Linked DNA regions of Arabidopsis thaliana. The main gene of each other region encodes a partner of the protein of the gene in region 2 in a complex. Each region holds a gene or a part of one and is shown on either strand. Other genes may lie near its edges.

Evidence for each region. The genes of interacting proteins can lie anywhere in the genome.
Region 1: emb1473 (region 2) and PSRP5 share a complex: the UniProt entries of both Arabidopsis thaliana proteins name them as parts of the 50S ribosomal subunit.

Annotation. Positions count from the first base shown.
Region 1 is NC_003074.8:21,068,911-21,073,380, forward strand, and holds PSRP5 (plastid-specific 50S ribosomal protein 5), read right to left. Parts: upstream 1,447-4,470; 5' UTR 1,348-1,446; coding exon 1,251-1,347; intron 998-1,250; coding exon 648-997; 3' UTR 501-647; downstream 1-500. Other genes in the region: AT3G56900 (Transducin/WD40 repeat-like superfamily protein), read left to right, coding at 1-80, 186-273, 371-433; AT3G56920 (DHHC-type zinc finger family protein), read left to right, coding at 1,924-1,980, 2,309-2,488, 2,586-2,891, 2,982-3,203, 3,280-3,531.
Region 2 is NC_003070.9:29,574,251-29,577,850, reverse strand, and holds the start of emb1473 (Ribosomal protein L13 family protein), read right to left. Parts: upstream 2,046-3,600; 5' UTR 1,855-2,045; coding exon 1,603-1,854; intron 1,295-1,602; coding exon 1,109-1,294; intron 909-1,108; coding exon 738-908; intron 562-737; coding exon 445-561; 3' UTR 1-444. Other genes in the region: AT1G78620 (integral membrane protein (Protein of unknown function DUF92, transmembrane)), read left to right, coding at 2,093-2,542, 2,870-3,123, 3,271-3,394, 3,508-3,600.

The DNA.
Region 1 (4,470 bases), on a different chromosome or scaffold from region 2:
AAAGGAGGCGATGAAAATTACAAAGGATTGATTGCCATCTACGACACACGAAGGACACCTATTGTATCAGCATCACTAGTGTAAGTAACTCTTACTGTTATCCATTCCATCGGACTTGACCTCCTTTTGTATATCTTTGCATTGTCTAAATGGATAGACAAAATCTGATGCTTTTATGATTACAGCGGTTTCATCAGAGGACCTGGAGAAAACCCGAAAGCTCTCTCCTTTTCATTCCATGACAAGTTCAAGCAAGGTCCACTCCTTTCTGTGGTAAGGCATATGCTTGATTAAGTCTCTTTTCATGCCAAAGTATTCATACAGGTAGAATCGGTTAGTTAATTAATCTTCCAAATAAACCTTGTTGCAGTGTTGGAGCACCGGATTCTGTTGCACCTATCCTCTCATCTTCCGCTCACATGTTCTTCCTTAATAGCCAAATGGTTCAAATTTAATGCAAGTTTCAAACTTTTTGGTTCTATTTTGTAGACTGCTCACTCTTTGTATACAAATGGTTTCTTTAAAGAACTCAGCTTTGAAGTTAAATCCAAAAACAATGGTTGCATTTGAAGTACATTAATGGTCTTTGAACACCAAAAAGAACATTACAAAAAACGAATACGAAAAGCAGCAAACAGTTGAGTCACTTAGACATTCTTGTTTTTCTTCATCTTGGAAGGTGGCCATCGACCCTTCTTCCTCATCTTACGCTTACGAACCAGACGTTTCCTGCGTAGCCTAATCTTTTTGGCCAGCTTCATCTTCAGCCTCAATTCCAAGAGCAGTTTCTCTTTAGCTTCTTTCGATTCCAACGGTAGTTTATCCACTGGAACAGCAGCAACAACAGTCTTTGGTTCCTCCTTGCTCTCAGGCTCAGCCCCGTCCACGCCAGAAGCAGCCGCCTTCACCACAATTCTTCCATGGCTAGAGTTCAAGCTGTAAGCACTGAGAGAGACTCTGTTCTTGGACTCGACAGCGTTGGGTTTAAGGCTCAAAACTGAAACACAAAAGATTAGAGCATTACAAGTAAACCAAGTGTTCGATTAAATGCTTCGATCTTTAAGCTTAAAACCTGACTGCCCTAAAACAAAACTTCACTTTTTTGGGACAATCAAGAAATTGAACTAGCCCAGGAGCTTCAATTTGGTTCCATGGGTCTCTATTGTTTTTTTTTTTTTCCCGATACAATTCCACGACAAAACGAAGCAAAAGCGAAATGTCAAGACTAGAAACGAGTGACAAGACATTACCTGGAGAAGCGAAAGACGGAGATTGAAGAAGGCGCGAGGAAGAAGAAGAAGAAAGAGAAGAGAGAGAAGGGAGAGAATTGAAGCAGAGAAGAGCCATCTTCTTCTTCTAATGGAAGAATTTGTCTTCAGACTTTCATTTGATAGTGGATAAGCTTTTTCTCCTTCTCTCTGTCTGTGTCTTCTTAACGAACGGATTGGATTGATCCGGCTCAATCCGGTTTAATTAAATACAGAAATTATCAAACGAACCGGCTTCTTTTTCCTGATTCGGGTTGAATAGATAAACCGGAGTGGGTACTTTTTATAGAACTGTGAGTTGACACGTGGCTGTCCCAGTGTGTGATTGGCGGGAGAAAGGCTAAGTTAAGGTTGTTCCAGAGAATGATGTTGGTTGGTGTTTTGAGCAACTTCCAATGGCGGAGGACAAATCTATGGAGAAAGGGAGAGAGAGAGAAAGAAACAAATCTATCAAACAGAAACCATAATCAGAAGACGAAAGGAGAACAAAATCCGCACAATCGGCGGCACGATTTGGATATCGCCGGTTTCATTCGCTTGGCTGTGAATTGAGGAAACTTGGATATGGAGCTGTAGGACGTGTCTAGCCGCGGATTCTGAGACTGGAAACAAAGCGAATAACATTTCTGAGTTTCATTCCCCGAAGAAAAACGTTATGTCTTCTCAGAATCTTGAACGACAAAGGATCTATCAAGTTTGGCCCGCCAAAAATGTAAGACTTCTGATGATTTGACAGCAAATTTACATTTTTAAAACCGCATTGTGGATTTTTATAGGATTTTAACTTTGGAAGATAAGAATCATGAATGAGGAAAATACCTCAAGATGCTCGGAATTGATTTTGTTACTAATATATGCTCTGCTTCTCTCTGTGCTAAAGTTTGAAGAACATGAGCTTTTAAGATTCTCTCAATGGAAATAGTCTAAGATTTTTATGTGTATTGTTTCACACATGATTTTAGCAAAAGCAAGATCCTAGCTTCTGTCTATATGAAATCATCATCTGAAGTGGAGTTTCTCAATTTGTTTTCGTGTTTCAGAAATTTTACTGTGGGGGAAGACTAGTGTTTGGTCCAGATGCATCGTCACTTCTTTTGACCACATGTATGATAGGAGGGCCAGCTATCGCTTTCTCCATCAGGATGGCTTATTTGATAAGCCATCGTCACCCTTTCTTTCATTCTCTTACTTTGATTGGTGCAATTCTTCTCACATTCATGGTATAACTATAAAGCTTTGCTATTTACTTACTTTCATAAGCCAAGTCATACCTTAAGCCAAATTCATGCATCTTCTTACGTCTTACTTTTTATCTAGGCTTTCACTTTTCTCTTCTTGACATCATCGAGAGACCCCGGGATTATCCCAAGGAACAAACAAGTGTCTGAGGCAGAGATTCCTGATGTTACCACCCAATCGACAGAATGGGTGACTAGCAAATTAGGAAGTGTGAAACTACCTCGAACAAAAGATGTAATGGTGAATGGCTTCACTGTCAAAGTGAAGTTTTGCGATACCTGTCAGCTATATCGTCCTCCTCGTGCCTTTCACTGCTCAATCTGCAATAACTGTGTCCAAAGGTTTGATCATCACTGTCCTTGGGTTGGTCAGTGCATCGCCTTGGTAAGTCTTACTATTAATTCTCACTTCCTAGACAAAGAACTGAGTAAGATCTATGAGTTGATATGTTATCTACGGGCTTTTGTTTTGCAGCGTAACTATCCATTCTTCGTCTGTTTCTTATCATGTTCAACACTCCTCTGCATCTACGTTTTCGTCTTCTCATGGGTCAGCATGCTTAAAGTCCATGGGGAATTCTATGTTGTTCTCGCTGATGACTTAATATTAGGTGTTCTTGGTCTCTACTGCTTTGTTTCCGTTTGGTTTGTTGGTGGACTTACTGTCTTCCACTTCTACCTTATCTGCACCAACCAGGCAAGATTCTTTAGCTTTTAACGTAGTTTCCAAGTAGCTTTTACTGTTGGTCTGATTCTCTTGTTATGTTTTGCAGACGACTTGTGAGAATTTTCGGTACCATTACGACAAGAAGGAAAACCCTTACCGAAAGGGGATCTTAGAGAACTTCAAGGAGCTATTCTTTGCAAAAATTCCACCACCTTTGATCAATTTCAGAGATTGGTCGCCAGAAGAAGAAGACGATGTGGAGGTTGGATCCATAGCCTCTGAGCTAGTCAGAGCCTTTGGTCCAAAAGACACGAAAATGAGCAGTGGAAAGTCTGATTCCGAAGCTAGAGAACGGTAACAACGGTGGCACGGCTGTCAAGAGATAAGTATGGATGAAGACGCCACAACGACTGCTTTGGTCTACCAAGAACCAGCGGAAAACAAGGAGAAGCTCGAGCGTGGAAGTGAGATCAAGATAGGCCAAAGTAAAGGACAAACAGGTGTAAAATCTACTTTTGTAATTCAAAGCCATGTAGCTCTCTTTCTCTCTTTACTCGTCAAGATGAGTTTTAAACTTTTTCCCATTAAGAATAGGAATTAGGAGAATTGGTGTACATAAATAATCGTTTCTTGCGTTACAGGTAATTCAATTTGGTGTTTATTATTGTCTCCATCTTTCTTTTTAGGGTTCATATAATGTATAGTGTTTCTTAGGTCTTACGGTAAGGGGTTTATAAGAAAAGAAGAAAAATTTGCCAATAGAGAAAACAAAGAGACAGAGGGATGTGAAGAGATGATGATGATTCGTTGATATGTTTAATATTCTATTTCTATATATAAAAAAGCTCAAAATACTTTACCAATTGAGCAAAAGCTATATACATATATAACAATAATATCTCATCTTATTTTTGTGAGATCTTTAATCAAATTGACTTCTTCTTCTTCTTTTTTTTTGCTGAAAGCATTCATAGAACAAACTAATTACAAAAATAATCGAAGAAGTGAAGCATTTATAAAAGGAAAAGAAGAAAGAAGATGAAGAAAAACACAAATGATGGAAAAAATCTAGGTGTGAAGCACGTTTGATTGAGAGATGATTTGACTTGGCTTCACCAGCTCATTGTTGCATCATTCTATTTATCTAATAATATTTATAGATATAGTTGGCCGACCAATGAAATAACAATATTTTTAAGTAATAAAAATCTAAGTTAAACAAGAAATTATTCCTTCTTAGTTCGAACAGACATCCTCCTATTAGCGTAATCACTTGTCCTAATTACATACATTGTCC
Region 2 (3,600 bases):
TAGTCGTTAGCGATTCCAAACATTCAAATTGTATTTCCTATTATTATGTATATTTAACATTCAAATTTTGGATCCAGCATTAAAAATTTCAGTTTTAAGTAATGACTCGATTAAGGCATGAATATTAGATTTTCCTTGCATCTGTGATCTCATTGGGAAGGTTTGTTACCAATTGAAGAGGAAGTTTTTGTTAATGGTGACTACTGTTGCTTATGGCATTTGTATTCATTACATGTCATCTTTTTCATGTTGAAGAAGATATTCAGTAGCAAAAAAAAATAACGAGAAATATTTCAAATTAGAAAGTTTTGTAGCATAACAGAGTTGATAGAAGCGAAAACAAGAATCTGTAAAGCCTCCTCTGGTTTTGGGATGAAGAAACTACAGAAACCTGAGAAGAAAAAACTCTCTGCGCTTGGCGATAATGGAACAGTGGTGGAGCTTCTATTTTTGCAGCTGTATTCTCTTGTCCCTGATAGGCAGATCAAGCGGTTTCTGGGCCTCGTGAGGATGGTCAGGGCCTTTGTACACCTTCAGGTGATTGAACAGAGCTCTCCCAAGCTGCCACAAAATGGTCAGACCAAAGTTAAGAGGGAGTTGGAAAACTAGTAATCAATCAATACCAATATCGCAACAAGTAGTTTCCAAGTTCAATCCATAAGTTTGAAGAAACACGGATTTGCTAAGTGTTAAGACTTAAAGGAGACTAATAAAGAGCTGTGGATTATGTATCTAACCCGTCCCTTTGGAAGCATTCCACGAACAGCATGCTCAACGATTCTTTCAGGAATTCTCTGCTGCAATTGATCAAATGTCTCTACTGTCATACCACCAGGTCGTCCTGAATGCCTCCTGTACAGCTTTTGGTTACGCTTCTTTCCAGATACAGCAACTTTCTCAGCATTCACCTTTAACCAAACAATTGAAAACAGTATTAGAGGTACCAAGTTACAAGCATTGCCCAAACATCTACATAGAGGCTCTACATCTTGCTGCTAATGTGAATCTTACTAAAACCAAATCCCAAGGCTCCTCCTTCAGGAAGAAATTAACTAAAGCAGCACATCAAATTTCTTATTCTCTACAGATAGCTCAAAGAAACTCATACCACAATCACAAAAGCTCCCATGTCGACACTAGGAGTGTAAGAGGCAAGATTCTTCCCACGGATGTGATTAGCAATTGTCGATGCCAATCTACCAAGAATTTTGTCAGTTGCATCAACCACAAACCAGGGCTTGTCCGTGTTCACATGGTCTGAAGCTTTTGGATACCATGTCGTGTTCCAGATGTCCTGTAAACCATAGAATACACTCAATAAAGGTTTCAAGCCAAAGACTTTTAACTTCTCTCCAACCAAACATTAATAATTTCATAAAACGTCCAAGTTAACAAATTCAGAAGAATAAACATCAATTTTCGAAGCCAATTGATGCAGACAACACAGCTAATGAGTCAAAGGCAAAATCCACTACTTAATAAATCGCAATTGGGAGAAGAAAAAAACAAGCCATACTTCAAATTCAAAGCAAGAGCTAAAGTGCGACACTTTATAAATGCGTAGATGCTAAACACAGAGGGAGATAGAAAAATTATCGTTACAGGGCCATTAGCTTCTTCTTCGTCGAACATCCATCGTTGATTCGCCGGAACAAGAGAAGTCGTCGTCGTCGGCTCAGCTTCACACTTCACTTGCAATCCTCTTTTCGAATTCGCATAAATGCCGACTCGTACCGACGGCTTCGAGATAGCCGTTAAAGAGAACCCTAAAAACGGAGACTTTCTCTCACTTCCGGAGGATTTCACGGAAGAAGAAGAGAGTATCACCGTCGAAGACGAGCAAAGAACCGCCATTTTTGTTTTTCTCTCTTCTGCAAATTTCTTCTGCTCTTTCCGATTTCTCGGATAAGATTGGGTTCTCAGTAAATAGTAGTAGTGGCAACACCGTAAATAATCTGATGAATACGACCGAAAAATAAACACAACACGGGTTAAGGATCCGGGTTTTTTTCGGAGCTCCGGATTCAACCCGAAATACTGTTTTTTTTTTCTCAATAGGAGAGAAAGGTCTTCTTCGGAAGCAAGCTAAGTCATGGCAACGATTTCGTCAACTCTACTCTTAAATTCTTCTAGATCAGCTTTACCACTAAGATTCCCAAAATTCTCGGGATTTTCTTCTTCCTCTCCATTCGCTAGATCTTACAGATTTGGACGACGTAATCTGGAACCACTTTCCAACGGAATGCTTTCGTCGGGAAGTAGAGCCGACGGTGCTACGGCGGCGGCTGCATCGATGGAAGGAGTGATGACGGAGGCGATGAAACTGATTCAATCGGCGTCACCAACTTGGAAATCAGCTGTGGCTAACAATTTATTGATTTTTGTTCTCGGTTCACCGCTTCTTGTTACCGGATTGTCCGCTTCTGGGATCGCCGCCGCGTTTTTGCTTGGTACTTTAACTTGGAGAGCTTATGGCTCTGCTGGTTTCCTCTTAGTCGCTGCTTACTTCGTCATAGTAAGTGCATTTGTGATCAACCTGAATGTAATTCGGTAACTGACTCTTAGAACGTAGAAATTCGCTGCTTTGATTTTGATTTCGAGCTGATGAATGAAGAATGTCCTTAGATTTTAGATGTGTTATTGTTTAATTTAGGAATTGTGGACGTGTTAGAGATCCTAAATCACGTTTACAGATTAAGGAGCTACTTTTTCTGATCATGCTCAACATTGAGATACTTAGTCTTTTCTCTGCAATGCTTTAAGTTTTAGATTTCAATATCGTGTTTCACCCCAGAGCTGGAAATAGTAACAGTAAATTTGCAATTGATTCTGGCGCTGAAGTTGGTTTAGATGATTTACAATATCACAGGGAACAGCGGCAACGAAGGTTAAAATGACGCAAAAGGAAGCACAAGGTGTGGCCGAAAAGAGAAAGGGTAGAAGAGGACCACGCAGTGTGATTGGTTCAAGTGCTGCTGGTTGTGTCTGTGCTTTTCTTTCAATATATCAAGTGGGAGGAGCAGCTTTTTCCCAGCTTTTCCGGCTTGGTTTTGTTTCCAGTTTCTGCACTAAAGTATCTGACACTGTCTCGAGCGAGATAGGCAAAGCTTATGGAAAAACAACGTGAGTATGCTACTGTTATCCAGCTATAGCCTCTTCTGTTATGGTCTGTGTCTGTTTTCTGTCTGATGTATGGCATGGACTTGTGGTGTCATGACATGAATCCAATCGACAACTGAAATGATCTTACTAACCATTGCCAATTCGCAGGTATTTAGCTACGACATTTAAGATTGTACCAAGAGGAACAGAGGGAGCTATGAGTCTTGAAGGAACATTGGCTGGACTTTTAGCATCATTTTTTCTTGCATCTGTTGGCTGCTTCCTGGGTCAGGTAATAGTGTTATTTGCTACCAAAATTTCCCTTCACAGCTTCTTTATGCTACTAAAGACTGTTATCATTACACGATTTTTAAACTTCTTTTCCTTTTGATATCTTGAACACAGATAACTCCTCCAGAAGCAGCTGTATGTGTACTAGCTTCCCAGATTGCCAATCTTGGAGAGAGCATAATAGGTGCTTCTTTTCAAGACAAAGAA